3 linked regions of the Drosophila melanogaster genome follow. The protein of the gene in region 3 interacts with the protein of the main gene of each other region in a pairwise test. Each region holds a gene or a part of one and is shown on either strand. Other genes may lie near its edges. The genes, in order: frc, Sys1 and Mpcp1.

Region 1 (12,901 bases), on a different chromosome or scaffold from region 3:
TGCTAAGACTACAGAAACCAATTAAAATGTATTAAATCATATTGTTATTTAAACATTTCAGTATAATAGATACATTGAAGGTTTCATCGCATCGTAGGTAATAACAAGTATGCAGCTCGTGATCTCATCCCAACTGTAGGGTAGATATTATTCTATAACAACACAACGGTCACACTGTTCAACACAAGGTAATCTTCGGGTGAGTTATAATGCGAAAAAGTATTGGCAGTGAAAATAAACCCATATTTACCCATTTCCAGCTACTTTCGAGCAATCATGTTGGTTAAGCACATTGTCAAGCAGGGGCTTCTGCTCAAGAACGGTGAGTTGGAGTGGCCCAACACCTCTTTTCAGCAAAACTGCTAACCTTAAAAATTACATAATGTGGATAAGCAAAGGGAGAAACTTCAAGGAACTGCGAAGGAATGGTTCACCCACCAATCTTCAGCATAGCCATGGATATTATCAGAATTAGCCAAACAGATATCGGAAGAAACTTGGATGAGATCATTAACCAAGTTGCATTTCGTTGGGATTACCCCCTTTTTAAAACCAATCACTTGAATATTCTTTCTTGTTCTCTCATTTCAGCTGGCGCTTTGTCGCGTGCCGCTTACCACGGTGGACATGGTCCCCACTCCACCATGAACGATCTGCCCGTGCCCGCTGGAGACTGGAAGGAGCAGCACAGCCAGAAGAACGCCAAGTACAATGCCGCGCTCATCACTGGCATTCTCGTCCTGGCCGGCACTATTGGATTCGTAAGTGGCTGCCATATTCCTTCCATCCCATATCGGTCTTATTGAAATACGCTTTGCAGGTGAAATCTTCTGGTATCATCCACTTCAACTACTACGCGCCCAAGAGCCTGGACTAAGCCAGCGTTCCCTTACGTGTAAATTAATCCAACATTTGTGTTAAATAAGCTTAAAGTGGCGACATAGTAAATCACAGATCCGAAAGTAATCAGTTCGATGGTTTTATTTGTCTCAGTAAACGGGACCATCGTCCAAGTTGTCGTCCTCATCATTGAAGGCTTCTCCATTATCAAAGTACGTTGCACCGTAGTCGTTGTCCTCGTCCATCTCATCATCCAACGCCGCCTCCGGATCTTCCTCCTCCTCCTGTTCGGAATCGGACTCTTGTTTGTTCTCGTCCTGCTCACCGCCACCTGATTTCAGTTCTTTCTGCTCCAGAACCTTCAGTCTGTCCTCGATGTTTGTCTTCTTGGTCAGCAGATTCGGCCTTGCATCTGCTCCACGACGTTTTCGACTGGAGATGTTTAGCTCTTGGGGCATGGCTTTGTAGTTAAAATCGGGTTGTGCTGTGAGCTTCATGCGCTCCATGGCTTTCTGGGGGTGTAAAAGCAGGATTATAAGCAGCTAATTTAAAATAGCCAGTATTATTACTTCTCGCCAGTCCTTGTGATCAAGGTTTTTTGCGTCCCGACTGGCGGAGATCATGTAATAGGGGGAATCTCGCATTCGGTTCAGAAAGTCCTCCTTCCACAGGAGCTGATAGTTCTGTGTGGCTGTTGTCTATCGAAGTAAAACAGGTAAAAAGTTGATCGATGTTTTTTAAACTAATGTAAATGGATTTGTACCCACTTCTAGGGTAGTGGGTCTGTTCAAAACAGGCGGAAATGTAGGTGGCGGCGCCGTCTGCACCGGCATATCCTTTGTGCATCCCAACATGGCCATTTGCTCCGCCGTGAGGGTGCCTGTCTTGCCGCCCCTTCCGCGGCCTGCCATTATAAATGCTTAATTTATTGTATTCTGTTTAGAAACACTTATTTCCGATTGTATTGTTCAGCTTGCACGTTTATTAAACTCTGAAAACGATCAGCTGTTGCCGCAGCTAACGGTGTTGCCACATAGTCAAAGCCAAACAATAACATTATTGAAGAATGTTCGCTTTTTAATACCCTTATTTTTATTTAGGTCGCAGTTCCAACTACTCAGTTTCAGTAATTACACTTTAATTTTACACATAACATATACATATTTTATTTGCAATTTGCACTTCATCACTTAGGCTATGAACATTAATTACATGCTAATATTAGAGCGCATTCGACATATTTCAGGCGTGTTTTATGTTTACAATTCCAATACAATATAGCCGATGGAAAATTAGTACATAATTTTCCAATTTAAAAAATATAATATTTCAGGGAGCAACAAATTGATACTTTTGGTCAAGTTAAGCAAACACCGCTGAAAATTCGAATTAAAGATGATTTGAAGTTGAATTTACACGTGTTACGTGTTTAGGGGCTTTGTTGAGTTAAATCAATCGGTTGGCAATCATCGGTTGGCGACAGACCCACTTTCTGCATCAATTCAGTAAGCTTTTGCGCTTTACGGTCCTCGTTGTGGGCAATTACTGTGCATAGATGCTCTGTGAGCAGCTCCTTCTTTTCGGATGCATTGTGCAGCTCTATCTTGGCCCGCAAGAACTGAGCCTCGATTTTGACGTATTGTTTTCTGTGTAACATAAATATTAATAAGGGAAACACACAAGTATTTGGCTTCGCCACTTACTCTACATTGGCAAAATGTATGCAGGCATTGTCGATCTGCTTCCTCAGCAGAGCTACGTCCACGGCCAGATCACTTTCCAGCTTGGACAGCTCGTGGCGGATCTCCTCGATCTTTCGCGACTCCGCCGCCGTCTTCTGGGTGTGCTGCTCGATGGCCTGGTACAGCATTTGCTTCTTCTGCTTGTTCTGCTCCTCGATCATGCGGCGATGCTGTTCGAAGTCCTTCAGCGAGATGCCCTTGAAAGGTGAGTCTGTGTTGAGGCGCTCCCGCGGCGAGGTGTCCTGGGTACTCGGCAGGATGCTGCCATCATCGGTGGAGCTAGTTGTCTGGCTGTCACCGCCGCTGATCTTCAGAATCGAACTGTCGTCGGTGGACGTTGTTTCAGCATCTGCATACGTGGCGGGAGTTTTCTTATCTCTAGCTGTAGCATTTCCATGGTAGAGTGCCTCTATTAATGAATCGGAGAGTGGGCGGTCCAAATTTAGCGATCCGTTCGCTACGTCATCCTCCGCCGCGGGAGTGGGAGTCGGTGGCTTTTCCGTGGGAGTCGCTGTTCCCGATTTGGTCTTCTTCGCCACATCCGGTTTTTGTATGGGTTGCTGTGGTTGCTGCTGCTGCTGCTTCCGTAACTGATCCGCTTGCCGGAAGATCTTATCGGGCATACGCCGAATGCCGGGTTGAATTCGGAGCGCCGGCTTCGCTGCTCACGCACACATAGGCAAAGGTTTTTATTATAAACAGATAATTGTTTACACGCTTTGGGGTTCATGCTTAGTGATCTAACCTGCTTCCAGACTCGCAGGCCTTTTGCCCACACCGCCCTCCTTCACGCCCGTTATCTTGAGGATCTCGTCGTGGCTAAAACCATTGAATTTCTCAGTCATGGTGTTTAACTTAGGGATAATTAGCCATTAAGACGATCGACCGAAAAAAACAAAACAACACATCAGCAAATGCAAACAGAACGAGTGGAGTTGCCACATCGGGTTAAGTTTTGATGCGATCATTCGCGGAAATTGACTGTTCTCACTGTGCTCAAATTCTAATATAAAAAATAATATAAAGTTTTTTTCTCGATCTTTAAATTATTTCGGCAAACTGCATCAACTTTTATATTTATTGCTATAATCAAATAATAATTTTCTTTGTAAGTGGAAACATCTACAATCAGTTCGACGTTACACGACGTTGCCAGATCACAATTCTACGATCGCGATAGGACTGCTCGATACTAATAGTCGATAAGTTCAAAATTTAAAAATGGGCTTAAAAATAAACAGCCTTATCAAGCTTTATTCAGCACAGTAATGCCCAATTCGGAGCGCAGCTCGTGGATGTTCTGCTCCCAGCGCTTCTCCCAGTAGACGGGCATCAAGGGCTTGGTCCGCTTGCCGTTCTCCAGGGCCCACGGCAAGTAATGCTTCAAGTACGCACGCCGCTGCCTAAGTGGAGGAGAAAATAAACAAACGCGTGAATGGGGAGCTATAATTAGAGAACCCAGTTCACTGAACTCACTTGGGACGTAGGCGAACTGCTCCGAATACCGCACCACCGTAGCACATGGGCAGGCCCGTGTTCAGAGCCTCCACCCACTTGACAGCCACCTCGCCCAGCATATTGGTGGGCATGTCCAGCACCGTGTGGATTAGGTCGTGGCATTCGCGATATCGCGTCATCAAGTAGGCCAACTTCGGGTCCTCCAAAAACCGCACGGCCATGCGACTGTCCGGCGTGACTTGCTGAAAATTGATTACCAAAATAATCGTTGAAGCGATGGACAAAAGCAATTATTATTTTATTTTCCATCTAAATATATCTTTTATATGCAAGTATGTTTATGAGACAATAATTTTTAAGATTTTCAATTGTTACCAACTTCAAATTCGACCATGACATTCACTGTCCAAATTCTCTTAGGAATGTCTTTGAACCAGATTTTCGTCGTTTTATGGTTACTAACGCTTTTTCTTACCGGATTCTTTGAACTACTTACATTATCTTTCAGAAACTTTACGTAAGCGGCTCCAAAGGTATCCGGTGGCAAAGTTTCCAGATACTTGAAGTCAATGGTGCTGGTGTGGATGCGGGGCTTATCAGCCATGATGCGCTGACCCTCCTCGCTGGCTTGCATGGTGTCCAAAATTGTCCATAGAGCATCCTCTCCAGTCGTCTCACCCAAACAGGCGATCATGTCATGACTTCATAATAATAATTAAGAGTTTTAAGAGATTTTTAAATTTCATCAGATGCCCTACCGTCTTGGATTCAAGAGCGCGGCAATGGAGGATCCTGCCCCCAGGAACAGCCGCTGGAAGGGCGATATCTCGATTCGCTCCTTGAGGTACTGACGCTCGAAGGCATCCAGAGGTTCCGCCTCGGGTGCTTCTGTGGCCACCGCTTGGCTATTAGCCTGGGCCAAGCGAAGGCCTCGTCGTAGGGCCAGCGGCTTTTGGAGACGCAAACAGCGTTGCATCATGATGATCTGTGGATTCATAGAGGAGATATGGGGAGGTGCACCCGGTGGTGACCTTATCAGCACGATCGTCGGCATCATCATCATTACATTATTATTATCATCATCATCATCGTCGCACACAAACATGACCCTGACTACCTGTCTTCGGTTAAAGCTGGTCCCTCGAGCCATACGTACGTATGTACGTGCCCACTTTCAATAGCGGCGAATATGAGCAAACAATTTGTCCATAATGTGGGTACGCGGTCGGGGCTGATGCTGACTAACAATTTACCTCACCGCACGGCTAAGTCTGTGCAAACCTGTTTCGGCTTCCTCATTACCTGTCCCCACTCCGAATCCCTCACTTCACCACCGCCCATCATATATTGCGGGCTCCCAAAATAACCCAAACAAAGTGCTGCCGGGGCACTAGCACCTCATTCTGCCGCTTTATGCCCGATTCAATGTCGTCATTGTTGTTTCTTTGGATAAATGAGTAGTCACCATTTAAAAGATAAGTTTAGCAACATATATGTGGGATATTTAAATCTTAATCTTTTGATAAGGAACTAGGCAGTTACCAAGTAAAATCTAATTCTAAGAAAATAGATAGCCATCTTAAAGTATACATACTTATTTCGCTAAAACAAAACAGTTTCAGCTGCGCAAATTTATTTACTTTTAAGACAAAGAAAAAGATTCTTCAGCACTACAATCTAAACAAAAGCCTTTTGAGGCAATTACCAAATGAAACGGAAAATAACACAAAATATCGGAAGGCGTACTATTCTAAAAAATACTATCACCACTCGCAATCACGTTCTTGGCTGATAATATTGTTTTTTTTTTATTCAACATAAAAACCCAAAATTTTGATATAGAGTAATCAGTAATCGAGCAACCTATCCAAAGCTTTTTACATAGTGATGTTGAGTGATGACGCTGCTGGATTGTCCGGCAATGCAGTACTTTGTTTTGTATTAATCTCAAGGCGCCAACGTGTTTGCTCAGAATAGATAAACAACAACCTATTAAGCACAAGTAATTGGCAAATCCCACAACGCAGTTCCACTACATTACTTATTTTACACAAAAAAGTAATTAGAAAAGCACGTGAGAGAGAGCAAGATGTCTGCTTAATTTGCAACGTCCGAGTTGTATGCCTTATCGGAGCAGGCAATCTTATCAATTATGACCCAAAATGGAACAGAAGACGGAACACAATTGTTTATCTGGCCCACCCATTCCGTAGGCGGAGGAGTGGAAGTCTGTGTATTTCTATTTCTTATGACACTTTCGATGCAGGAAACAGTTGCATGCAGACAAATGTACAAAGTGATTAAAATTACATAATTGCTAAATTACATTTTTATAGAAATATAGCTAGATATATGTACAGAGACGATGCGCTGTGTGGTTGTAGGAAAATCAAATACGAACGTTGTCGCGAATCGCAGATCGCAATTGAAGTACACAGTACGGAATACACTTAACATATCGTATGGCTTTGGCTTGAGTTTGAGCTAAGATGAAGCTAGACATTCTCGCCGCGGGTGCTGGGCAAGTGGTCCTGCTTATCGGGAGCCCGCTTCCGCCGAAAAGTGACGTACGTGTAGAGCAGACTAGCCAGCACGCTGATGTTGATCCCAATACAGTTGAGCCACGAGAAGACGTAGTCGCCTCCAATGAACATGCCCAGATATGTTACGCAGATGTTTTTCAGGCATCCCACAATGGTGGTGGTCAGCGCCGAGTTGAATTGCGTGCACAGGATGGTGCTGTACGATAGGATGAAACCCATAACGCAACTGAGCAGGAACTGCACCACAAACACTGAGTCATTCCATTGTTCAAAGTTCAGCGCCTGATCTAGATTCCCTGTAACATAGTTGAGGGCCAGGGCAGGCAGAAACATAAACAGCGAGTTGTAGTACATTAGGCCGTACTTTCCGATCTCCGAGGTGTCGAGTTTTTTCTTCACATATACGCCATTCGAGGCGGTCAAGGCGTTAGTGATCATCACATAGATGTAGCCCCTCATGTTGAAGGACAGATCATCAGAGGCGGCCAGCAGCGCTCCACCGATCATTGCGTATACGCTGACCTGAACCGCATTCGAAGGTCGCAGTCCCAGGATCTTGAGCTCCAGCAGCATGGTCATCAGGATAGAGAAGCGTCGTAGGGCTGCGAACATGGGCAGACTCAAGGTTTTTGTGCCACCCAGTCCAAACATCATGTTTCCCAGAAATATCAGTGGCAGCGGAAAGATCTTGGCGAAGGTATTCCTCTGCAGAGGGGGAAAGTTCACCAATTTCAGGCGCTTGCCCATGCCCAGGACCACAATGCTAGCAGTAAGTTGCCCGAGGCTGAGGAACAGGAACGAGGGGAAGTGGTAGGAGGTAAGCACCGTCTTGTTTACCACCGTAATCATGAAGGAGGACAAGCCATAGAACAAGGCGCTCCCGATCTTCTTGACGAACAACGCCGAGTCCTCGCGTTCCCGGTGACTCAGCTCCTTCGAACCGGATCCATCGAGCAGCGATGACCGATCCGCCGATCCGCCCATCTTCTCCTCCAGCTCCCTGTTTCCGACATCGCTCTCCGCCAGGAGCGGCTGCAAGTCCAGAGTTGTGTTGCCGCCGCGCGACATACTCATCGTATTTGCGGGAGTGCTGGTAGTTGAATTAAATCACTTTCGTCACTATCGTTTGTTCGGCGGCGACTATCTTGCGGCGCGCACATTTGCTCACTTTCTTCGGGGCCACTTTGGGGCCGGGGAGGAAGCGTTCCCACAGCACATTAACGAGTATTTGCTATTTTTACCGACGCGAAATCGCAGCCATTCTCCCCGGAACATATGTTCAGTGTGGCCGCAGCAGAGTTGTCAAAACACGCTCCCCAATGAAATAACCTAAATGTGCCATCACTGTTACTTAACAGTTTCTGTTACTTTTCTAGCGGCATGTCAAAAAAACAAAAATATAGAAAATGCTAAATATATATTGGACTAATGTGTTTAAATGTAACTTACACTAGTAACAGATCCCCATTAATAAAAGCCAAACTCTAAAATTCTGCCACAAGTACTATTTCTCACGTAACACCTTACTAACGGATTTCACATGATATCTACGACAAGAAACTGTTTGCTGATATAAAATTGCTATCACCGCTTTCCGTAAACACTTTTACACTGATGGATTACAAGTTCAATTAATACATCAACTTACCTTAACAATTTTAAGACAACTAACACTCCCACAATTTAATTCAACCTACACCGCTTGATAATCAGCTGTTCTGTACAAAAAACAATAACACTGTTAACAACAGCGCACAGTGGATAATACAGTCCTAAAGGCAATATACACCATTGTACATTTTTAATTATTGATTCTATGTGCCATTCCCTAGTATACGAAATAATTTTTATTAAATACATTTTCGTAATACTGCTCGTTTTTCTTTGCGTTTTGAATTTTAAAATAGAGCCATTCACACTAATCCCACAAAATTGTTGCCTTCGTCCCACTGTCCACAAGGTATAAATAGTAGTGGCAACGCTGCCCGAAAGACCGAAATTACTTGGTTTTTATTTTGACAACAAATTGGATAAAATGAGTGGCTTGAAGGCGAAAAAATCCAGCAAGGGCGACCAAATCCCCAAGCCCATTAGCATTAAGAAGGAGAAGATCGAGGAGGAACGAAAGCTGCATCCCATGTCCCATTACATAGACGACCGCCTGGAATTGGTGAAACAGATATTTGGGACCTTAAAACCGAAAACCATTTTGAACCTAGCCCCAGAGTTTCTAAAGGTGTGTTATAGTTCTTTTTATAAAAAGCTATTTATCAATAATTTCACGCAGAAAACGCCACTAGACGAAATCGAGGAACTTTGTCTGGAGGAGTTACTCTGCTTGTCTACGAAGCGGCTAAAATCCATAATAGAAAACACCAAATGTCCCACAGACACTGAAAGCTCCGAAGATTCCGATGTGGAGCACAAAGAAGGTATGTTGAATCACTTCCTTGCCCTATAAACCCACCATTCATTATAAAGTCTCATTTCAGAACACATCTCGCTAGAGGAGATATCATCCGACAGCGACATCGGAGGTCAGGAATCCCGAAAAAGTGAGTTGGTGGCATAAGATACATTTAATTTAGAGTTTATTATCTGTGTAATCTGCACAACTGCACGCCGTAAAGTTATCCACCGTACTTAAACTTCTCGCAGGCAAAGAGCGGCGACACGTAAAATGCCCGCAGGATGCAAACATCCTCTCCTATGCCGATGACCACGTTATCCTTATCCTCTTTGCCCACCTCCAGGGTAACTACAAAGTCTCCAACCTCCAAGCAGCCCTTCTTCCTCATAAAGTCCACTCCAAACTCAATCGGACTGTAGCTGCACTCGTTGAGATCCTTGGTGTAAAGAACCGGGTGCATGTTACGGCGCAAATGAAGCGCACGAGCGAGCTCCACCTTGCAGGTAATGGTTTCCGCATCATCTGTCTCCTCCAGCGGCACCATCACATATACTGGGCAATAGATCTCAATACGCGAAAGGGCCACGCTGGCGGTCTCGCAAGTGGTGAACAAAAATATGGCTTGACACTCAATCGAGCTAATTGTGCGGATAATAAAATTCACAATGGTCTGGTATGAGGTTAGGATGCTCTTCAGTACCATCTTATTCTGGACCGCGCCAACACGATAATCTTTTATGGGCATCAGCTTTTTGACTATCAGCGGATATTTGTTGCACCATGGACTTTTTTGGATGTGAATAGCGTCGACCTTCCACAGGAAATCGTGCAACTCAAATCGCTTAAAATCACTGCAACGCTCCAGCGGAACAGTGCCAATGACTGGCTTCTTCTGGCACTGCGAAATCGGAAGCACGTCCTCCATAATGTAGTTATATACGCAACAGTTTACGTTGAACATGTCGGGTATCCAAATGTAGTCCACAAGCTTAATGATGCCTAGCAAATCAAGCATGTTACTTCGCACATACTCGAAATCTATCATTCCGATCAACTTAAGGTTGAAGTCCGAGTTCAAGGTCTGCCGCACGGCACGAAGAAAGCTCTTGCATCGTATCTTGGGCAGAACCACATAGTTGGCATTCAAAGACGCGGCCATCTCAAGGTCCTTCATGTACAGATCGGGATATAGGTCCGGATCGAGAGCGTGGCACTGTCTAGGAAGCTCTATAAAGTCGTAGGAGGCTACCAGACCGGCATCTATGATCATCACGGTTAGTGCTTCCCGCAGGGTCTTCACCACCTTACCTCTAACTTCACGTCCGATCATCACAATATCGCCCAACTGAACGGAGGCGAGATAACACCGCAGATTGATTACGTACACTATTTCTTTAAAGCCTTTGTAGCGGTAGGACTCATCCGTGGTGAGTGTGACCACCCCACCTCGTGCCAGCATCACGGTGCAGTTGTTCCTCAGTCTCCCAACGCGACAGCACTCGCCGTTAATCTCCAGAGCCAAGCCAGTTGTCAGACGTAGTTCCCTCTCTGCAGAATGCGCCGATATCGCAATGTTCATGGTGTCCAAAATGGCTTTCAGTTCATCGGGCTTGTTGCCCACCGTATCCACGTGAAAGGTGTAGGTTCCATTTTCCAGCATACGTCGCAGCTCGTCGTGAGTGGTTTCCGTCACCAGCTTGGCCACAAGACCCAAATGATAGTATCTCTTCCGTTTTCGCCGTCTGGCGTGCTTCTCGTGAGCCTCGCATGCCGCTTTGAAATCCTTTAAACGCTGCTCCAGGTCATGTTGTCCATTAAGACGCACCGTAAACTTCTCCAGACGATTCTCGTCTTCCGGCTGCTCCTCCTCCTCCCCCTGATCCTCACCTGTCTGACTGTCTAGTTGCGGCGTTACTTCTTTCTGGTTGATCGGCATCCTGGCGTGCAGTTAATTTATGTATACTTTAGCACAATTTGTAATGCAATCTGTGTCAATCTTGTCTGATTTTCAGCCAAGAAGAAGCTTAGATCCAAGAAAACGAACAATGGGAATGAAAACAAAGAGTGTAAGTACAAACTTTACGAATGTATAAAAACTAATCGAAATCGACCGAAAGTATGATAACAACAGCCATCTGAGACTGTGCGCCCGTTTGACGGCAAATTTGTTCAGGTTACTAAGGTATTCTTTTCTCCCACAGCGGGTGGTCAAATGAGCGTGCTGGAACTGTTGGAACTTCAGGCACGTGCCAGGGCCATCCGCTCCCAACTGGCAATGGAGCCAATCACCAAAATAGAGGTCAAGTCAGATGATGATATTGACGAAGTACCAGTGGAGAAAGTACAGCGAAAGGAAAAGGATAAACGCAGCACTAAAAAAACGGATTCGAGCAAGCGCAAATCGCAGGAATCAGCTAGACCAACATCTCCATCCCAGCCTGATAGCAGCAGCAAGGAGCAGGAAGCGCCCCGCAAAAGAATCAAGATCAAAAGAAACTATAGGCGGACTTCAAAGTCGCCAGAAAAGGAAGTCAAACCTCCAACATCTACTACTTCATCCGAAACTTTGGTTGCATCTAACGATTTAAACAAACTGCCACGTTCCAAATCACGTTCAGCCTCACCAGATGTGATACCTATACAAACGGAACCCGAAACACTGCTGATCAGCGACAGTACGGATGATGAGGCCACCAAAAAGAAGACAACTGAAACAACTACAACTAAGCAAGTCGAATCGGACCCACCAGCCCCAGTCGTTGAGAGCGAGCCAGAGGAGGGAGAAGTGCGCGATGAACCCGAAGAGCCAGCTAAGGTAGTTGACCCAGCCAATCCAGATGAGCCAACAGAGTCAGAAGCAGCAGCTATTTCGAAAGAACTGGAAAGTAATAAGCCAGAAGTATCGGATACGTCTGATAAGCTAGATAAAACAGGGGATAAGGAACCACCGTCGGAAGAAGCTCTCCCAGCTAATCCCCCTGCAGAGCCAAAGAAGCCGAGTGCAGCCGAGCCAACTGCCCTTGACGACGAAGATCAAAACGACGACGTCATTTCAATAGGTGGGGATCTAGAAATGATTGAGGAAATGACGAAGGATGACGATTCACCTTGGGTAAGCATTAAAAGCGAGAAAAAGGAGAAGATGCAGGATCCTGAGGAACTGGACAACGATGTCATATCCCTGGACACAAGCGAGGATGAACGCGACAAACTACAGCAGGCAGACTCCGAGGTATTTTTAAATGCTCCTCAAAACAGTACCTTTTTTTCAACACAATAATCCTTTTGTTTGTAGTCCTGGCGTTCACGCTACATGAAGAGCTCCAAGGTCAGCCAGGTGCTGGCCGAATCGCGTTTGGGAAAACGCGTCCGTGACAAGCTCAAGAAATCGAAGCGCACCAAAGTCACCGCCGGCGAGGAGCAGGCCAAGGTTGAAAAGCCGGATTCATTTACTTCCAAGCATGAAGACGGATCCATAGAGCAATACCAGGAGCTTCTGCAGCACCGACAGCGTAAAACTTCAAACAGTAGCAAGGGGGATAAATAAGTTTAGCCGCTAAGGGCGGGATTTATTGAAAAGTCGCGTACTGACGCACGGCCCTAGTTTATATGGCATATAAAAAGTCAAATAAAAATTTGCTGTCCTCGGGGGCGGAAGGCAACAAAAAATTTGAATATATCGTGCTAAGCGGATATTTAATTTCTTATTCGTCTTTTCGATACTCTATTCGTGTAGAGTAAGTATACGTTGTGTAGAAGTAGTTGCTTTTTATAAATATAATTTTAAGCCATCGTTTTTAGTTTGAGTAACAAGCCGTGTAAGGGTTGAAAAAGCCGTGTAACGCAGTTTTTGGATTTAGTATTTATTTAAATTGAATTCATATATATTACTTAAAAAGATTTATTTA
Region 2 (9,197 bases), on a different chromosome or scaffold from region 3:
TCTATTCACTATCAAGAAGCACAAGGACATTTAATTAATTTTTACAGCTCCATAATGTAATGATCCTTAAAATCGTAATGCGTACGACTTATACTTGGTCCTCTAATATGCCCATATTATTAGAGAAAATGTAATTACTTTTGCAGGTGGTGAATTCGATTCGCGTCGCGGCGGTGACTGGAATCGCAGCGGCGGAGGCGGCGGAGGAGGTCGAGGATTTGGACGCGGACCATCGTACCGCGGCGGTGGCGGCGGAAGCGGTAGCAACCTCAACGAGCAGACTGCCGAGGATGGCCAGGCACAGCAGCAGCAGCAGCCGCGCAACGATCGTTGGCAGGAGCCAGAACGTCCTGCCGGATTCGATGGCAGCGAGGGCGGACAGTCTGCCGGCGGCAACAGAAGCTACAACAATCGCGGCGAGCGCGGAGGCGGCGGTTACAACAGCCGCTGGAAGGAGGGCGGCGGCTCAAACGTCGACTACACAAAGCTGGGCGCCCGAGATGAGCGCCTGGAGGTGGAGCTGTTCGGCGTGGGCAATACGGGAATCAATTTTGACAAATACGAGGATATACCCGTGGAGGCGACGGGCCAGAATGTGCCCCCGAACATCACATCGTTCGATGATGTGCAGCTGACGGAGATTATCCGCAACAACGTGGCCTTAGCACGTTATGACAAACCGACACCGGTGCAGAAGCACGCCATTCCGATCATTATCAATGGCCGGGATCTAATGGCCTGCGCCCAGACTGGATCCGGCAAGACGGCCGCCTTCCTGGTGCCGATTCTCAACCAGATGTACGAGCTGGGACATGTGCCCCCGCCGCAAAGCACCCGGCAGTACAGCCGGCGCAAGCAGTATCCGTTGGGTCTGGTGCTGGCGCCGACCCGCGAACTGGCCACCCAGATCTTTGAGGAGGCCAAGAAGTTCGCCTATCGCTCCCGGATGCGCCCGGCAGTGCTGTACGGCGGAAACAATACTAGCGAGCAGATGCGCGAGCTGGACCGCGGTTGCCATCTGATTGTGGCCACACCCGGTCGCCTAGAGGACATGATCACACGCGGAAAGGTGGGACTGGAGAACATTCGATTCCTTGTACTGGATGAGGCTGATCGTATGTTGGACATGGGTTTCGAGCCGCAGATCCGTCGCATCGTCGAACAGCTAAACATGCCGCCAACCGGACAGCGCCAGACGCTTATGTTCTCGGCCACATTCCCCAAGCAGATCCAGGAGTTAGCCAGCGATTTCCTCAGCAACTACATTTTCTTGGCCGTTGGTCGTGTGGGCTCCACATCTGAGAACATTACGCAGACAATCCTGTGGGTCTATGAACCCGACAAGCGCTCGTATCTGCTGGATCTGCTCTCGTCTATCCGCGATGGCCCCGAATACACCAAAGACAGCCTAACACTGATCTTTGTGGAGACTAAGAAGGGTGCAGACTCGCTGGAGGAGTTCCTGTACCAGTGCAATCATCCCGTCACTAGCATCCACGGTGATCGCACGCAGAAGGAGCGCGAGGAGGCACTGCGCTGCTTCCGATCGGGCGACTGCCCCATCCTGGTGGCCACAGCCGTGGCCGCTCGTGGCCTGGACATTCCGCACGTTAAGCACGTTATTAACTTTGACCTGCCCTCGGATGTGGAGGAGTATGTCCACCGTATCGGGCGTACCGGACGTATGGGTAATCTTGGTGTGGCCACCTCCTTTTTCAACGAAAAGAACCGCAACATTTGCTCCGATCTCTTGGAGCTGCTGATCGAAACGAAGCAGGAGATCCCCAGTTTCATGGAGGATATGAGTTCGGATCGCGGACATGGCGGAGCCAAGCGGGCTGGACGAGGCGGTGGTGGACGTTATGGTGGCGGCTTCGGCTCCAGGGATTACCGTCAAAGCTCTGGCGGCGGCGGTGGCGGACGCAGTGGACCGCCACCACGTAGCGGTGGTTCCGGATCAGGAGGCGGCGGCGGCAGTTACCGCAGCAATGGAAACTCGTACGGTAAGTTTGGTGAGTGTGGAATCATCCATCAGCAGTAATCAGTTTAAAGGCAGAAACTTAACAGTGGATTTCCTTTACAGGCGGCAATTCGGGCGGCGGTGGATACTATGGCGGCGGCGCCGGTGGTGGCTCCTATGGCGGCTCCTACGGCGGCGGCAGTGCCTCGCACTCTTCGAACGCACCCGACTGGTGGGCTCAATGAGCAAGGCCTCAGCTTCAGGCAAAGGACCTGGGCCAGCAGCAGCAGCAGCATCAGCAGTCGCATCGTAGCCACTTTCGCAAATAACCAAACGGAGTAAAACAAAGTCGATAACAACTATATATGTGTACACACGTATACTATATAGGAACAGCAAATGTGAAAGAGAAACTGTCTGTGCGCAGCGCAACACAAATCACGAAAATACAGAAAAGATACACAGATGCACCCTCCACCCCACCCTCGTTTAGCAATTCACTCCTCTCTCACAACCTCAAAAACCAGGAGCAAGCGTTAATAATAAACTGTGCAAGTCCATCGCGAAAGTATATTACATTCATGTATAGCCAGCCCAAGCCGCCCTCCATTTCCATCTCACCCATCATTATATTTTATGAATTCGATGCGCGTAGTTGAAGGATATGCAAGCAAACACATACATATTTAAAATATGCTAAACAACCACAAATATTAAGAATATTTAAGCAAATGATAAAATTTTTGAATTTTTGTCCATAAGTTACAATTCTCACACATCATTTTTCTTGGAACTCTTAATATACATATATATATATATATATATATGTATTCTTATATATATATATATATATATCTAGACATAAATATTGTCAATGTCGGATCGAAACGATGAAAGCGCAAATCCTTGAACTTCAATTGATGATTTTAAACGAAGAAAACATAAAAATAGTAATGGTATATATATTATTAAATATATAGATCGAGATAGAATGTACTATATGAAACAAGAAACCAACACAAACAAGTAATTAAAACAAAAAAAAAACAAGTTTGCTAAACTAAAGCTTAATAATTTAGCAAATGAGAAAAAGAACTCGCATGGTTGTTTTTAATTTTTTCTGCATTTGGTGTAACAGGTGATTTTTTTGGGATTGGCAGATCGTGTCCGATAACGCTGTAAAGCACCAACGTTTACTAATTCCTTGGCGCCCTATTATCTTTTCATAAATATGTTCAATTAAGATTTATTTACTTACTGATATCACTTTTTGAGTTAGCTCCATTGATAAGAATTGGCAAGTTGCCTGTTCTTTGGTTTTAGTTCAGTACGCTTTTCGAACCAATACGTTTCGATGTAAGAGATCATTGGATTTTCAACCGCGACGAGCTGCTGGCCATATTATCAAAATAATTAAGGAGTGGAATATCCATAGGATAGGTTAGTAACCTTTAGGAGCTTCTCAGATGAGAGCTTTGTCGCCGGTTTCCCAGCGGCAAAGCTTCAATTATGCACATTTAAGCAATCAGTATAATTGAATGTTCGAAACGTGGGGAGCGAGAATGTAAGTAGGAAATGCATCAAATAGTGCCGAGGATGTGACGATCGTGGCGATGCCTACCCGTTTGCTAATTAGATTAGATAGGGCAAGTTGATTAGTTTGCTCTGATGTTTTCTAAAGAGGGGAGCTTGTCGATTTGTCGTTGTTTGTTTGCCAGATAAATTTGCTTGAACAGCAAAGCTCTACGCTTCTTGATCGCTGGATTTTGAAATAATAAACAGCGTGGGCGCTTGACTAGGCCACACCCCGTTTTATTATTATTTTCGGCAGTCCGGCGGAAATTTTCAGTGCACTCCCAGTTGTATTCGCGGATCTCAGCTGTGTCAATTTCAGACTGTCAACATATAAACACGACGAGGATGCAGAAGCCACATCATGGTCCGTGCTGGATGTTGCTTCTACTGGCATCGCTGATCGGTACTTTTATGCTGGCCTTCAGCTACTGGATGTTTGTGCCGCGCGAGGAGTCACTATGGTCAATGATATCGAACTACAGTGGATCTGGAATAAAGTACTCCCTGCCGCCGTCAGCAGTACCTGAGGAACTTAAGCTTCGGCAGAGACCGCCCTTCGTTTACCAGATATTACATTGAAAGTAGAAGTACAATATAGTGTTTATATGCTATGTAATCTTACGCTAGTTTAACAATAAATTACATGTACACAGAAGCTGCTTTGGGTGGCTTGGTTGGGGGGGTAGCAGGCATCACAAGTTGGTGGCTTCGAGTCAGACGTCCGACTTTTGATTGAGGGCCGCATAGCCCACTGGGATCTCCTTCATCTCGGTCTGCAGGCAGAGAAACTCGCCGCCTATGCACATTATTGTGCCGGTGATGACATTCAGTAGCCACCACGATGCGTTCGCGGGAAAGGAGCGGTTGTACCACCAGCAGATCAGCAAATGCAGCACGTGGAAGGTGCAACTGCCATGAAAGGGAAGCATGAGTTGTAAAAGCAAAAGATTAAGTGTGTGCACTAGCTATAAGCCCACCTAAAGTCCAGACAGAGCTTGGCTCTTCTCACAATGCACCACAGTGCCAGGGAGGCTAAGAACGCATTTAAAACAAATGCGCAGATCACCAGGCGGCCACCCATGTCGTAGATGTGGATCTCCTTTAAGCAACATTAAATCAAAGTAAGGAGAGGGGTTTCCATGATATATGGTATATAGCATATGGCATACATGGTATTCGAACAAGTGATCCAGACTATAGTTGTCCCCGGACAACTTGTTGGCCACGAAGACGAGTAGGCCAAGGGTGAAGTACACGCAGAACTGCATGGACACAATCTGTGAGGACAGCAGCGTGGGATCCCACTGCGTGTTGCGAAAGGTGCCGCCCTTCATGGTTGCCTCGGGTGGCCAAATCAGCGTTTAGAGAACGAAATTTCTAATTTTTAGCTGGCCATAACAAACTGACTCAACCATTAGAGGTGACACTGGAGGACTATCGATTCTCTTCGGCATGGTTGTGAATAGAAGGGGTTCATTTGCTACACAGAAAAAAAAGAAAATTATTGATGCTTGCCGTAGTAACTATATATCGCATGAGTTTTCCTTCAAAATGGCCAGACTTACTCCCAAATTGAATTTTCGTTAAAACTCTAGTACATGCATTTACTTTTTTACATATTATACTTTTAATACTCTATCGGGTACAATCGATATCCGGCGATAGTCGTCATGGATCAGGATCACTTAAAGAATGCTAAAAACGCCACGCGGAGAGTTGTGAGTAAAGTACGGCTTAAACGGGACCGGATTACAGAATGATTCCGCCCACAGGGTCGTTTGCGGTCGCTGGGAATCGTTACAGTCGGAGGAGCTGCCTTGGTGGCGGGCATTACGGCATACAAGAACCAGGACCAGTTGTTCCGGACCTTCGTGATGCCAGCGGTGCGACTTCTTCCGGCGGAAGCCAGCCATCAACTGGCCGTGCTGGCGTGCAAGTACCGCCTGTGCCCGGTTTCACAGTACCATGATGACCAGAACTTGCACACGTCGTTCTTTGGCCGGATGCTTAGCAATCCCATTGGCATTGCAGCGGGATTCGATAAGAACGCGGAGGCGGTGGACGGCCTGCAGGATCTAGGATTCGGATTTATAGAGGTGGGCACAGTTACCCCGGCGGCTCAGGAGGGCAATCCCAAGCCGAGAGTATTCCGGTTGACCGAGGACAAGGCCATCATTAATCGGTACGGATTTAATAGCGACGGGCATCAGGCCGTGCTCCAACGGCTGCGCTTGCTCCGCAAAAAGGAGAACTTCAATGGAGTTGTGGGCGTGAATCTGGGCCGGAACAAGACCACCATGAGCCCGATAGCGGATTATGTACAGGGTGTTCGGGTTTTCGGGCCCGTAGCAGACTACCTGGTCATTAATGTGAGCAGTCCGAACACCAAGGGCCTGCGCGATATGCAGAGCAAGGAGAAGCTAAGAGAGCTCCTGGAACAGGTCAACGACACGAAATCCTCCCTGGATAAGAACAAGAATGTGCCTATACTCTTGAAACTTTCGCCGGATCTATCTTTGGACGACATGAAGGACATCGTGTGGGTAATCAAGCGCAAGAAGAGCCGCGTGGATGGCCTGATCGTTTCAAACACCACGGTGTCGCGGGAAAACATCGAAAAGAACAAGCTGGCCGAGGAAACTGGCGGATTAAGTGGTCCTCCACTCAAGGCCCGCTCCACAGAGATGATCGCCCAGATGTACCAGCTCACCGATGGAAAGATTCCCATCATAGGCGTCGGCGGAGTGGCTTCCGGCTATGATGCATACGAAAAGATCGAAGCTGGAGCTTCCTACGTCCAAATCTACACGGCTTTAGTGTACGAGGGACCCGCTCTTGTGGAAGACATTAAGGCGGAGCTGTCGGCGCTGATCACACGGCTGGGTCACACTAATGTTGCGGACGTGGTGGGCACCAACAGCAAGTTCTACTTGCCCAAATGAATCAAAGATGCCACGATTTGAAGCAAGTGCTGCATTCATTTGTGTAAAACTAAGCTGTTAACAAACATTTCTCATGCTTTTCCTTTGGTCTAACCAATAAATCATTAAATTCTTCATTGATTAACTCTGAGGACTTTCATTCGCCCGCTGGACTGTGAGCACTCGTCCATCGAGGAAATGGGTGTTCTGGTTGCTGGCGCTGTTGAAGGCATCCCGTTGGCTGAAAACCACAAAGCCATAGTGCTTGGACAGGCCCAGTTGCCGGTCAAAGACCACCTCCGCGTTGGCCACGTGCCCGTACTTTGAGAAGTAGGTCCGCAGTTCCTTGCTACCTATCGTCCATGGCAGGTTGCCGACGAACAATTTGTAGCTGCTGCGAACAAATCCGCTGGACATGATTATGTATGTTTTAATTTTCTGGTTTTAAATCACTGGTGATTGTGCATTGATTTTAAGGTGGCGCAGATTGGTTTATGTAGGCGTCGACGTCACTTATTGACGAAATGTAACTTTTCAACTAGTAAAAACTTTAACAAAGCTGGGATTAATTTGTGAAAAATAGAAACTCAAATCTCTTGGTTTTAAAGAAATAATTATTTATAGGTGACATTTTTATATTCGTTTTATTACCCACCTCACTACTTTTGCACCTTGCAGGACTGCTTATCGCAAGCTAGTGCGCATACTATCGATGGCTATCGATTGGCCGCAAATAATCAATGTTTCATCTCTAGCTCTTTTAAGTTTTGGTTGCTATTTATGTAAATGTTTAGCGAAATTGCGGAAAAAGTGCATATCAGTGCGCTCGATTGCTGAAAAAGTAGTTGCGTTGCAAACGGCGAAGAGCCCATCAAAGGCGGCCCAGTAACCAGGCGATCGGAGGGCCAAAGGAGCATCAAGTCGACGTGTTGTATTCGGGGCGCGGCGCCTGCAGAAAACGGACAAAACATCCTTAGGACAGCCACACAAAGGCGCATCGATACTTTCAGCCACCACACACAATGGCCGAACGACCGAAAAATTTGTTTGCAAGTGAGTTACCCCTTTGGTCTCGAACCGCCCACGCAGGTCATACACATGCAGCCGAAGAGGACCACATACTCGCTGGGTGACGCATAGTTTGGAAATCTGGTGCAGCGGCGATAAGCCATCTATGAAGCCTCCTAAATTCTCCCATTTCCCACACATTCCAGCCGGATCCAGTCGCTCCCGCAATCCCCCGGATCAGCTAAGCCTGAATAATCTTAGCATACGCCATCCGCCCTCGTCCACGTCGTCCACTTCTTCGGGATCCACCTCCTCGGGCTCAAGTTCCTCATCACAGCACAACCATGTGACCCGCTGTTTTGGTGCCCAGCAGCCACAGCAAACCCCGCCGGTGGCCAGCAGTCAAGTGCCACCGGTGCCGGCAGCATCGAGCAGCAGCGCTGCCGATCGTCACCGGGAGCGAATTCGCCAGCAGGCCTGTGGCAAGCTACAGTTTGGTGAGGGCGGCGCTAATACACACACATTTACTTCAGACGATCTCGAGGATGAGGGCGAAATTGGACGCGGTGCATTTGGGGCAGTCAACAAGATGACCTTTAAGAAATTGGACAAGGTGATGGCCGTCAAGCGCATTCGATCCACCGTAGACGAGAAGGAACAGAAGCAGCTGCTCATGGATCTCGAGGTGGTCATGAAGTCCAACGAGTGCATTTACATTGTTCAGTTCTATGGGGCGCTTTTCAAGGAGGGTGACTGCTGGATTTGTATGGAGCTGATGGACACCTCTTTGGACAAGTTTTACAAGTACATCTACGAAAAGCAGCAGCGCCACATTCCAGAGTCTATACTGGCTAAGATAACAGTGGCCACGGTCAATGCGCTGAACTATTTGAAGGAGGAGCTAAAGATTATCCATCGGGATGTGAAACCGAGCAACATTCTGTTGCACCGTCGCGGAGACATAAAGCTGTGCGATTTTGGTATTTCGGGTCAGCTGGTCGACTCTATTGCCAAGACCAAGGATGCGGGCTGCAGGCCCTACATGGCGGTAATGATTGTCATTTGATTTCACAACATTTTTACCGCAATTGTATGCATTTGTGCAGCCGGAGCGCATTGATCCAGAACGTGCCAAGGGCTACGATGTACGAAGCGATGTTTGGTCATTGGGCATCACATTAATGGAGGTGGCGACTGGTAATTTCCCCTATCGTAAATGGGACTCTGTTTTCGAGCAGTTGTGCCAGGTAAACATAAAACATTTTAATAGGATAGTTTTTCTTTTAAAATGAGATACAAATATCGTTCGTCTTGTTCCCTTTCGTCATTAGGAATAATCTAATAGAGATAAGCATTGACTAATGACTCATTTTATTTGCTGATTGTCTTATCGTATTGTCTTTCATATAGTAAATTATCATAATATCTGAAGCTAATTTTCTTTGGCTAATGACTTTTTCATAATATTAACATTCAAGGTTGTGCAAGGCGAACCGCCGCGACTTTTGACATCCTATAACGGCATGGAGTTTTCCAAAGAGTTTGTGGACTTTGTCAATACTTGGTAAGCACCAGTAAAGCCTAGAAAACTTAATAATAGTAACTAATAAAGCATTATTATCGTTTTAGCCTAATTAAAAAGGAGAGCGATCGACCCAAGTATAGCCGTCTGCTGGAGATGCCCTTCATACGTCGTGGCGAGACGAGCCACACTGATGTTGCCGTGTATGTGG
Region 3 (10,567 bases):
GCTGTTTAGTTCATGATTAACTATGAATACTTACGCTGCGAACTGGTTATATCCACAATCTTCGGCTGGGAAATGCCCAACTCCTCAATAAGACTTTCAATTTTCTGATCCACCGTCTGTTTCACAAATTTGGGCCGCTTACCTACATTTCGCTCTGAAAGTGAAAGAGTTTTGGTTACTTAATGGAATCTCAAAAGATCCGAGTAACTTACTCTGCATGTGATCGGGAAGATCGTGGACCAACGTCAGAGTGGCCGAGTAAACAAAATTTTGGCGCTGATGCTTCTTCTGCTCGTCCGAATTGAGAACCTTGAGTAGACTGCGCAGCTCTTCGAAGTGTCCCTTCTCCACCATGCGATCCGTTTCGTCGATGACCAGGAAACTGACATCCTCGATCTTGCCCAAATGTCGATTGCCCTGGGCGTAAAGTTCCCAGAGGCGACCAGGTGTGGCCACCACGATGTCCGGGCACTGGCGAAGTACTCGTTCCTGTTTCGCAACAGCTAGACCTCCGAAGATGGCTGCCACTCGAATGCCTGTATACTTTGCAGCAGCCACCAGGTGATTCTTGACCTGCACGGCCAACTCCCTGGTGGGTGTGAGAACCAGACCGTACAGAGGAGTCTGTACACGCTGGGCCTGCTCCTCCGCATCGCTCTCCTCATCACTGGCACCGGAAACATGATCCAGCTCCTCCGGCGGGGGCGTCAGCTCGTGCTCATCTGCCGCTGGCTCCGGCTGCTGTCCCTTCACCTTGGGCGCCTTGCGTATGCCAGAGCGAATATTCCTTTGCTTCAGCTCCATGATTCCGGCGAGCATGGGTATGCCAAAGGCCAGGGTTTTTCCGCTGCCCGTTTCGGCTGCTCCAAGGATGTCCTTTTTGCCGTGGATTGCAGCCGGCAGCGTCAGTGCCTGGATTTGTGTGGGCGTCTTGAAGCCTTGCTCGCCGAGGGCACGCAAAATGGAAGCGGGAACACCCAGGCCGTTCCAGGCGGACATATCTTCGGCTTCGCCTGTGGAGATGGGCACTAATTCGGGTGCTTCTTCGTCGGTCGACTCCTGTTGGTCTGCCGAATCTTCCGCCTTGACCACTTCTTCTTCATCGTCCGATGGTGGTGGCCTGAGCAATGCGAAACGATCTGCCGCGTGCTCATCACTGGACTCCTCACTGTTGTCGTTTTCCTTGCCCTTCGATTTCTTCTGTTTCCGCAGCTCCTTTCGCTTTTCACGCTTCTCGCGCAGTTTCTGCATTTTTTGCGCATGACGCTCGGCCAGGCGGGCTTTTTTACTGGTCCTAGCAGCGACCGCCACTTCATCCTCGCTTTCGGATTCGCTGGAACTCTCGCTGGATTCCTCCTCGTCGCCCTTCGATACCTTCCTCTTTTTCTTCTTCAGCTTGCGCTCTCTGTCTGGATTCCGGGATGTGGTCCTCTTCTGCGAGGACTTCACCAGCGATGCATCGTAGTCCTTGAGGACCTCCAGGCCAATTAATCCCTCGAAGCCGCCACCATCGTCGGATATCACGTGGCCCTTGATTTTAACCTTCTGCCAGTTTTCCGCCTTCGAAAGTGCAGGCTCCTTGGCTGCGCCTTTTAGCAGCTTTGGTGGCTTCGCTGTTTTCTGTTTATTCTGAACCATAATTATCTATTTTAACTTAATAAAAGTGAAATAAAAATGCAGTTCAAAAAACCGCGTGTTGAATGCTGCTTCTTCTTCCCTCTGTTTGTTGACATTGGACGGGGCTGTTAAGCTCAGCTGTTCGGTATTGAACTAAAAGTGCTAAATTAGTGTTGGAAAATATGGAGGTGTGCACTCGAGCTTGGCGGTTATTTTAAATTGAAATTTTCTTTTACCCCTTGATACAAAGAGCGTTTAATTTTTGTGTGGTTTTTATTTACTGTGTGGTTTATCTATACAAATCAAGTTTAATTCGATTAACATTCTGCTCGCTCTAAATTTAAAAACAGTTAGCTTATATTTGGTTTACTGCTCGCCAGTCACGCCCAGCTTCTTCTTCAGGGACTCGGGCATTTCTGGTGGTGGTGGGCGTGGCATGCGCAGGAACACCTTGACGGCATCGTAGATGAACCACTGGGCGGCGGTCAATGTGCCGATCATCACGATCCTGGGCACCAAACCGCCCCACAATCCTGAATTGGAAAAAAGCGAATGTTTTAGATGAGGAACAGGAAATCCCATCAAATGTCAGCACTTACCAGACCAACCCAGCTGCTTGGCCACGTCCAGGGCGGAGGCACCCTTGGCCTGGTTCAGCTTGGACACCACTGTGTCCGCCGGATGCGAGACGATGGCGCAGAACACGCCGGCAATGTAACCGGCGGCGAAGGTCACCACCAACTGCTCACCCTTGGTGCAATCGGCACGTGGCTTGGGCACCACATACTTGTACAGCAGCTCCAGCGTCCGCTCGAAGCAGGCGAACTTCATCATGGTGTATGGGATCTGGCGCATCCACAATGGCACCAGGCCCTTGTAGAAGGCGGTCACGCCCTCCTGGGCGGTCATCTTGGGCAGAGCCTCGCGCAATGTCTTGGCGAATCCGGGCGTGGTCTGGATCTTGACCTTGGCCGCCTCCATGGGCGCCAGGGCGATATCGGCGAAGAACTCAGCGGATGCCGATGCAGCCAAATAGAGTCCGGTTCTGTAGAGGAATGCGTTCTCCTCGCCGATAGCATCGCCGTACACCTTCTTGAAGACCTCGTACAGGCCGAACTTGCACAGACCCTGCATCGAGTAGCCGATGAAGGTGGGTGCCCATCCCTTGGCCAATCCGCGGACGCCCTCCTCAGCCAAGCTGATGCGGAAGCCGGTGAACACGCTCTTGTACTTGGCCGGGTCCACCTGCAGGCGGCACTTGACCAAATCCAGGGGCACCACCATGGTGTGTGTGGAGCCGCACGAGATGATGCCGCCCAGGCCGCACAGCAGGAAGTAGTGGTTCGAGCCGAATTCGCAGGAGTCTGCAGAGGTATTAACAATACTTATATATCCAACTCATTGGTGATTCCAGGAGGACTTGTCCCACTTACCACCCTCGGCAACGGCAGCGGCAGCGATGTTGTGGTTTCGAGTCAGCTGGCGTGGAGCAACATCCTTGAGGGTGGGGGTCACCACCGCGGTGGATGTGGGGGCGGAAGTGGGCGTGGCTGACTGGCAGTTGACGCTAGTGAATGGCGACTTGAACGTTGAGTTCTGCGCGGCATCGAACAGGGACTTAAACATGATGCCTTAGAGAAGTGCCTTTGAAAACAGAGATCAAGGGTTTCGAATGGGTTTAAGGTTAAGGTCATGATGTAACAAACTAAATTGCAAGTGGTACCGCCTACACTAAATACATTTAATCTATTTTAATTGTTTTTACATCTATAAATTAATATTTCGTACTTTCTTTTGTCAAAAACGTTTGAGCACATAGAAGTTATGTTCTTTAATCCTGAAAGATTATACAATTATTTAAAAACTGTTTTTCTAGTATCATTATAATTTAAAAATTAATTAGCAATAGTAAATGATAAGCATTGGCAATAATATATTCAATCCGAAATCACTTCATCAAAAAACTTTTTTTATAAACTTTCTTTTTTTTATCAAGTTATATTGAAATTGAGAATGTATACTTGCATTATTTTTTACATAACTATTGTTTTTTCTCATTCGCCAAACACTTTTTATGCATTGCGTAATGTTCTCCCCAGAGTACGTATTGTATCACTTTGCGTATATTTCGAAAATGTTCGAAAACAGAACGGTTTTCAAAACACCGAGCAAACTTAAACACTCACTTCAAAGTGCGGGGTATCGAAGGAGGTGAAGTGCAGATAGGGATTAGATATAGTTGAAGTATAGAGTCGTTGTTGGGCTGAAATGTGGGGACCCAAAGCAACGTTCGTCGTGCGCCAGACCAGAAAACCAAATGCAGTGGCTGCAATGGTATAGTGAGAGCTAGCAGCTTCGGTTCAGGGTTGCCAGCCGAGTGCAAAGCCAACCGGTTGATAACGGTTTCGAAACGGTTGCGTATCGGGTAAGAACTTACACAGCAAATGCACAGCTAATCAGTATAAAGACACTTTCTTTTTGAAGATATTGAATATGTTGGCTATCTCAGCCTTATGACATCGGTTAATGACGGTTATGAAATGGTTGGGTATCGGGTAAAAACTTACACCAAAGATCCATAGCTAATTTTGCTCTAAAAGCCACCTGACAACCCCCGAATAGAGATTGTTATTTATAAATTGGCAATTCTTGGCCACCACAGCAAAAAAAGAGCCCATTGAGCAGCGTCTGGTTTGCTTATAAAATGTATAGGTGTAAAAATAATTTCATTAACGTACGACCAGCTGATCGGAGGACGAGCAATTGGCAGCCCAATCGATTCATCCGATCGCTCTGGATCAAGGTTAAGATCTTGTGGGTTTTTTTTGCAAAATTTAAACATTTTATTTGAAACGTACAATGCTATTATAGATGTGTATTACTAAAATCAGTAGTTAGTAACTCTGTAGTCTTAGGGGCTATTACAAAAAACGATATACGACATGGTATCTTACAATCAGACAAGTAAGTACATTTCTGTTGTTGGTGCTTATCAAATAAATGCTAAAAATATCGGAAGTATATAGCTGCACATAATATAGTAATACTTTTTGCAATAAATTACAGTAAAATACAATACAATACAAATACAATACATCGATCAAAAATGGCAGAAACAATGTCATCACTTAATAGTTGGTGTTCGTCTCGTCCACGGAGGCTCTAATAGATACAGATGGGCCAACAATGGAGGCCACCGCGAGCTCACAAAACACATTGCGGGTTTGGAATGCGGGCCCAGCATTCTGGACTGTCGGCAGTTGAACTGCCCATTTTGGAAACTTACATAACTAAATTGGCAAACAAGCGGACATCTTACGCTCTAAAACTTAACAACGCTATTGTGGACTACGATTCGGCAGTTTCCATGTGCCGGTGCACCGTCACTGGTGCCAGGATATAGTGTGGCCGGGTCTTATCCCCCTCGAGGGGCAACGTCGTCTGCCCGTAGACACTACCACCTGCTGGCGTTCCGCGACATGGCGAGGGCGTGGCCTGCACCTGCTTGTAGCGTTCCGTCTTTGAGGTCGGCTGATTGCTCAAGTAGGGATGCGTGTTTGGCTGCGAGGAGGACTGCTGTCGATTCGTGGGACTCGATATGGATGTGGATATGGACATGGTGTCCGACTTGCTGTGCCGCTTGTCGTGCAGCAGCAAAGGTTCCGCCAGCGTGAAGCACTGCTGATCGGAACTGTCCTCGTGCGGCGTCATTGTGCTGTAGCCATGATCCGACTCACCGTTGGGTGGCCGGCGATAGCTACTGCCGCTGGAAACGTGGTAGGGCGAAATATCCGCCGCGTGCATCAGCTGCCGCTGTGCAGATGCGTGGTCATAGCCGCCACCAAGAGGCGGCTCGTCATGCGCTTTGCAATCGTCAAAGTTGAACCTGGACAGCGGCAAGCCGTAATTCTCTTCCTGTACCGAATCCACATAGAAGTGCTCCTGCGTCTGCGCATCCAGATTGTGTCTGTAGCAGTAGATGGCAAAGCCAATCACCATGACAAGCACCACAATGGCTCCTCCTAGCGGACCAAATGCAGAGTAAGCGTGCTGCTCTCTCTGCGGATTGTGGGCGGCCAGCAGTTCCATCTCGTCCAGCTCACCGTAGGGTGTCAGCGAGGCAAGTACTCCGTTGAAGCAGCTCGCCTGGGACGAGCAGAAGGAGGTCGAAAAACTATTGCCGTCCACATCCAGCTGGCACCATTCGCAGCCCATCACTCCGAGGCATTCTCTTTGAGTGGAATACGTTTCGCATATGCCAGCAGAACCAGGACAATTCGGCAGAGTACTCAGCAGCTGTGTGGTCGGTGGAAGTGCAATGAAATGTTCACTTGGCGGTGGACAGTACGGAAATTGTCGCGTGTAGTTGGCAAAGTACATGAGGGACGATGGTGAGCTGCTGTCTCCCACCATTGGACACTCGCAAGGACACTCGCAGTCTGTTTGGTCCATTCGCTTGCAGTTGAGACACTCTCTGTCGATTGTGCTGCACGGGCAAAAGGCGCCGCCATCGCAGCTGGAGTTTAGTACGGCTGCGAATAGATTGCTACCACGGATCAGGGCAATCGCGTACTTGGTTCGCTCGCCGTGCACTACGTTGCCCAGGATGCTGGACAGAGATGTGTTGAAGGCGTAGTAACGCTGCAACGTGCGGTTTTGGTAGCTGGCACAGCCGAGTTTTCGTACCAATTGGCCGTGGTTCAACATATCGTTGGCCAAATACGATTCCTTGTGTGTGAGGTGCTCATGTGGACGTCGCTGGTTTTTCGTGAGTGTGGCGGGCTGCAACATGCTGGGGTGAGCCAACAAATATCCCTCGTGCTCGAACAGCAGACACTTTATATGCGGCAGCTGGCAGATCGGTGTGCCCTCCAGGATCAGGCGATAGTAGAAGGCATAAGGAACGTCCAGGGCTACCACTGCTACGGGTCTGTCCTGCTGGGCAGAGTGCAGCGCATGGGCCTTGCCTTCGAAGATGGTGTGCGCAATGGTGATTATGTATCCAGCTCCTCCGGCATCCAGATACGGAGCTGTGCTAACAATCTTTCCAGGCTGCGCTATTGCCTGTCGGAACCATGGCCTTCGCGTTGGATCATAGCTGCTGCTAAGCAAGCAACCTGGGTACAATTGCAGCACTCCACTCACACTGGCGATGTACCGTCGAATGACATGGCTGCGTAGTGAGCCCCTTGCGTCCTGGTGCCGTCGTCTCAACTGCTGCATCGCCTGGTAAAGGACGCCCACTTCGTGCCGAATACTGGGACGCAGGCCCATATTGGCCAGCAGGCCACTTGAGTCGCGAAGATAGGCCATTATAGACTCCACATGCCGCAGCTGGGTGCGAGGCCTATTGTTGTGAAGGAATCCGAACGGAGACTCGAATGCGGCAGCACTCAGGAACAGAGTTGGAGCATCTGGAAGAATTTTAAATATAATTATGTTTTAACATTTATGATGGGGTATGACTAAAACTCACCCATTGTGGCTACTTGTCTGAAGTAGCGACAGGTTTTTGGCGGTGCACTGCCGCCTTGGTTTAAATCCAGGCGATGGTAGAGTAGGTCCATGCTCTCACCATAGTAGCCGGGCTCGTAGTTGGACACGGTGTCCTTTAGGTTGTAACGTTGCGTGGAGGAAACATTGCGCAGTGTGTCGCCGCCACTGCTTACCAGGCAGAGTACATAAAATCCCAGCACGGATTGCCAGTAGTAGGTACGCTGCAGTCGCTGTCTGCCCACATAGACATCCGTGGTGACATTACCGCTCTCCTCGCGCAGAAGGCGATCCCGTATATGGCTGGAAAAATCTGTGGCGTTTTCCAGATAGGCGATGTTTACGGGATACGAGGTCTCGCGCTGAATGAGCGGTCGTGGAAAAGCCGGATGAGCTAGCGTGTTTCCCGTCGAGCGATCGAGCAGAAAGGCATACCCTAAGCCCTGCTTGGCACTGGATGTAGTACTGGGGTAGTTAAGTAGATCCTCAAGCAGATCCGACAGGTACAAGTTTACTCCTACAACACCGTAGGGAGGAACGGCATGCGTGATGGAGACAAGAACATCTGCAAGAAGGCAAAATATTGATTGGGAAATCAAGATTAATGGTTCTTTAACTTACCTCCGCTGTCTGCGTCCACAACTGGAGGATGAACTTCCAGCGTATCACTCAAATATCGCTCTTGAAAGAGCGGTCCAAATATCCGTGAACTCGTTTGGGGTAACGACGTTTCCGCGTGCATTTTGCTGAGCACATAGAAGCGTCCAACCAACTCAGACGCTTCCTGTCCACTGGGCCACCAACTTGCCACATCAATCTCGTACTTGGTGTAGTTCTGACTGGCGACGTCGTTAAGGAATTGTTTTTCGTACATTATACGCTTCTCGTCGAGCACCACTGCGCATGTGTTAATGATCACTGGAGCCCTGAGTCGTCTTTGACCATCGGCCACTACTCGCAGTACTGCCATTGCATCAGACAAGTTGGTCAGCAGACCACGAGTAATGTAAACGAATTCCACTGGTTGCTCTGCCGTATTTATCATACCCGACTGTTGCAGTCGATGGAGTAGCTCAAAGGAGTACTCAAATCCCAAGGAGTGGTTTGTAAAGGCCTGTGCCCGGCTCAAGCTGTTAATGAAGCTTATAATTTCCTCCTTGTGCGCACGAGTCGCACTGTAGATGCCGTGACCAGCCTCGGCGGGAAAGGCTTCTAGGGACATGAAGTTCGCTTCACTCGCAACCGTCACCAGTGAAACTTTATCCGTATCTTCCAGCAGCTGGAGCATTTCGTGAACTGAAAATAAACACAATTGATTTTGGTTGTCTTTCAATAAGAATCAATAATTTACCAAAGCTTTTTGAGAGGTCGAATAACTCCGCGCTTAGAGCTGATCCCACGTCGATGAGGAAGAGCACAAATTTCTGCTTAATAGCTGACACGTAGAGCTGACGAAAATGGAGGCTAGCAGAGGCTCCATCCGAATTGGATAGGAAATATATGTGTTTAAAGTGATTCCCGCTAATTGGCTTGCTATTCGAGTTTTCCGCATCGCTTCGACTGAGCCTGCGCTTGAGTAGTACTAGTTGATTCGATATGTAGCCATTGACAGCCAAGGAACGGGCATTATTCTCATTCAGGAAGGTAGCGCGTGCATCATCCGACTTGAGATAGTTTAGGATTTGGATCTGCTGTCTGTTGTAGTGAATCGATTGGGTCGATGAGGAGCCGTACTCCAAGTCCGTTTCGTAGTCAGGCTGGCAGCTCTCTATTTGGGTGTTCAAGTAGAGCTGCACATGCTCATCGGTTGGTGAGGCCGTGTTCCTGGCATGTAGATCTTCCAGCTCCATTTCTAGATCCATTTCGCTCTCCGACTCATCATCCTCGTCGTCGTAGCTGTATTGCCAGACCTTGGTCAGGTTGTAGCGAAGCAGTTCGCGCAGTTCCAACACCACGTAAGTGGCTTTCTGGATTTTCTTGCTCAGACGCTCACTAAACAATTGCAAGTCCCGCTGCAACTGGGGATTGACCACGTTGCTATCGTTGCTCGAAGCTTGACGAGTGTTTGACGCTCCTTTGGCGCTGCTGAAGTGCATGGAGTCAAAGATTTCCTGGAAGGGGATTGTGGGCATTAAAATGGAGTTTAATAGCTTGTGCAGTATTGATAGCCCACCTGTATCTTGGCCACCCTCAGCTCCGTATTACGAATATTCCGCAGCTTGCCCTCCATGCTATGTCGCAGCTGCATGGCATTCTGCTGGTTGTGGTGCACGAAAAAGACGCTTCCCGGCGACTGCTGCAGCGGCATGAAGCCAGGATCCGTAGGCACTTGGTTGCTAGTTGAATTGGCCATGGCCAGAGGAACATGTTGGCTGCTAGTTGGGCACGCCAGCACTGCCAGGATGAGCAGCACGGCGTTTAGGTTGCTGTTGGGCCACATGGTTTTTGTGGTTCCGGCGGACTCCGTGGCCACTGGGGCATACTATTGAATTTACCGCATATCTGGAAGACAATGAAATGTTAGCTTGAGTGGTTTCCTCTTAAGGAATTCTGTATTACCAGGTTCTTCTCGAGCTGCACGCTGATTTGTTTACGGAATTTCGTCACATAAATCTCGCTGATTCCTCGGTTTTAGGCATAGTAAGCACGTGTACATTGCCCACTGGCTCAGAGACAACAACTAATCAACATAAATACACTCTTATTCGTCCGATTAAGCTATTAAATTTAATAATTTTGTCAATGTTTTGCAGATTTTCTTAAAGTTCCACATGCGCAGTGTGACCGTATGTCGTAGATTATAGGGCAGCATGCGGAAGATACAAAAATGCACGACACAGCAGTGTGGCTGCATACGACTTTACAGTTAAAATGTGGTTACCCTAGAAATAACGTATTTTCGAAAATTGTAAATTGCTAAGCGTTTTATAAGTTGCATTTATTCAATATTCTTGAAATGCATACGCACTTAAATAAATAATAATTACATTGAAATGTATTCTTAGTTAGATTTTCTATAAATTATTTTGCAAATTAATGCTCTTATAACACTTTCACTTTTTATGTGCATCTAAAAGCAAAACCAAAGTTGAGCCTTTGCCAATTATTCGCTCATCCGTTGTCAAGGTTGTGTGCATTTGATTCTTTTTTATTTTTGTCGGCTGGATACGTGACTATGTAGTCCGAAGATGGAACAGATGCAGTCCAATTGGTGTCAGACGAACAAGGTGCGTGTCCGGCATGATAAATATTGCAATGGTTCCAATTGTTTAATATAAAAATGAGCAAATCCCAAATATTGCACCGCAGTTTCAATCGAGCCGTTCATTAAAATGGTGACAAAGGTATGATGTGGCTATTTAATAAACATTTTTACGTAAATCTTTTTGGCATTCCTAAAGTTGCTTCTACTGCTGCCATTTGTGGCCATTGTACAAGCTGAAGTGGATTTTACCGG

The links.
Region 1: the proteins of Mpcp1 (region 3) and frc interact in a two-hybrid assay, tested with the Drosophila melanogaster proteins (one large-scale study listed by BioGRID).
Region 2: the proteins of Mpcp1 (region 3) and Sys1 interact in a two-hybrid assay, tested with the Drosophila melanogaster proteins (one large-scale study listed by BioGRID).

Annotation. Positions count from the first base shown.
Region 1 is NT_037436.4:17,425,319-17,438,219, forward strand, and holds frc (fringe connection), read right to left. Parts: upstream 7,873-12,901; 5' UTR 7,658-7,872; coding exon 6,536-7,657; 3' UTR 5,020-6,535; coding exon of another isoform or gene 4,799-5,019; intron 4,742-4,798; coding exon of another isoform or gene 4,537-4,741; intron 4,283-4,536; coding exon of another isoform or gene 4,059-4,282; intron 3,986-4,058; coding exon of another isoform or gene 3,829-3,985; 3' UTR 3,618-3,828; downstream 1-3,617. Other genes in the region: COX7B (cytochrome c oxidase subunit 7B), read left to right, coding at 277-322, 592-761, 821-877; Polr3G (RNA polymerase III subunit G), read right to left, coding at 990-1,352, 1,410-1,538, 1,608-1,751; Gorab (Golgin, RAB6 interacting), read right to left, coding at 2,270-2,486, 2,544-3,243, 3,328-3,427; Coq4 (coenzyme Q4), read right to left, coding at 3,829-3,985, 4,059-4,282, 4,537-4,741, 4,799-5,019; CG32176 (uncharacterized protein), read left to right, coding at 8,619-8,819, 8,871-9,015, 9,076-9,138, 11,006-11,059, 11,195-12,225, 12,289-12,540; CG12229 (uncharacterized protein), read right to left, coding at 9,214-10,929. UniProt on the Drosophila melanogaster protein: Involved in the import of UDP-sugars from the cytoplasm into the Golgi lumen.
Region 2 is NT_033777.3:8,648,793-8,657,989, reverse strand, and holds Sys1 (Sys1 golgi trafficking protein), read right to left. Parts: upstream 4,980-9,197; 5' UTR 4,870-4,979; coding exon 4,705-4,869; intron 4,635-4,704; coding exon 4,513-4,634; intron 4,445-4,512; coding exon 4,249-4,444; 3' UTR 4,143-4,248; downstream 1-4,142. Other genes in the region: bel (belle), read left to right, coding at 147-2,012, 2,084-2,205; CG42489 (uncharacterized protein), read left to right, coding at 3,881-4,114; Dhod (dihydroorotate dehydrogenase), read left to right, coding at 5,206-5,253, 5,308-6,477; SLIRP2 (SRA stem-loop interacting RNA binding protein 2), read right to left, coding at 6,598-6,873; Mkk4 (MAP kinase kinase 4), read left to right, coding at 7,479-7,509, 7,671-8,512, 8,571-8,711, 8,943-9,028, 9,094-9,197.
Region 3 is NT_033778.4:20,277,185-20,287,751, forward strand, and holds Mpcp1 (mitochondrial phosphate carrier protein 1), read right to left. Parts: upstream 3,944-10,567; 5' UTR 3,804-3,943; intron 3,754-3,803; exon of another isoform or gene 3,660-3,753; intron 3,426-3,659; exon of another isoform or gene 3,406-3,425; intron 3,262-3,405; 5' UTR 3,244-3,261; coding exon 3,051-3,243; intron 2,982-3,050; coding exon 2,217-2,981; intron 2,151-2,216; coding exon 1,984-2,150; 3' UTR 1,882-1,983; downstream 1-1,881. Other genes in the region: CG9143 (uncharacterized protein), read right to left, coding at 35-154, 213-1,638; CG16868 (uncharacterized protein), read right to left, coding at 4,966-7,031, 7,094-7,675, 7,732-8,406, 8,462-9,221, 9,284-9,550; CG34199 (uncharacterized protein), read left to right, coding at 10,443-10,454, 10,512-10,567.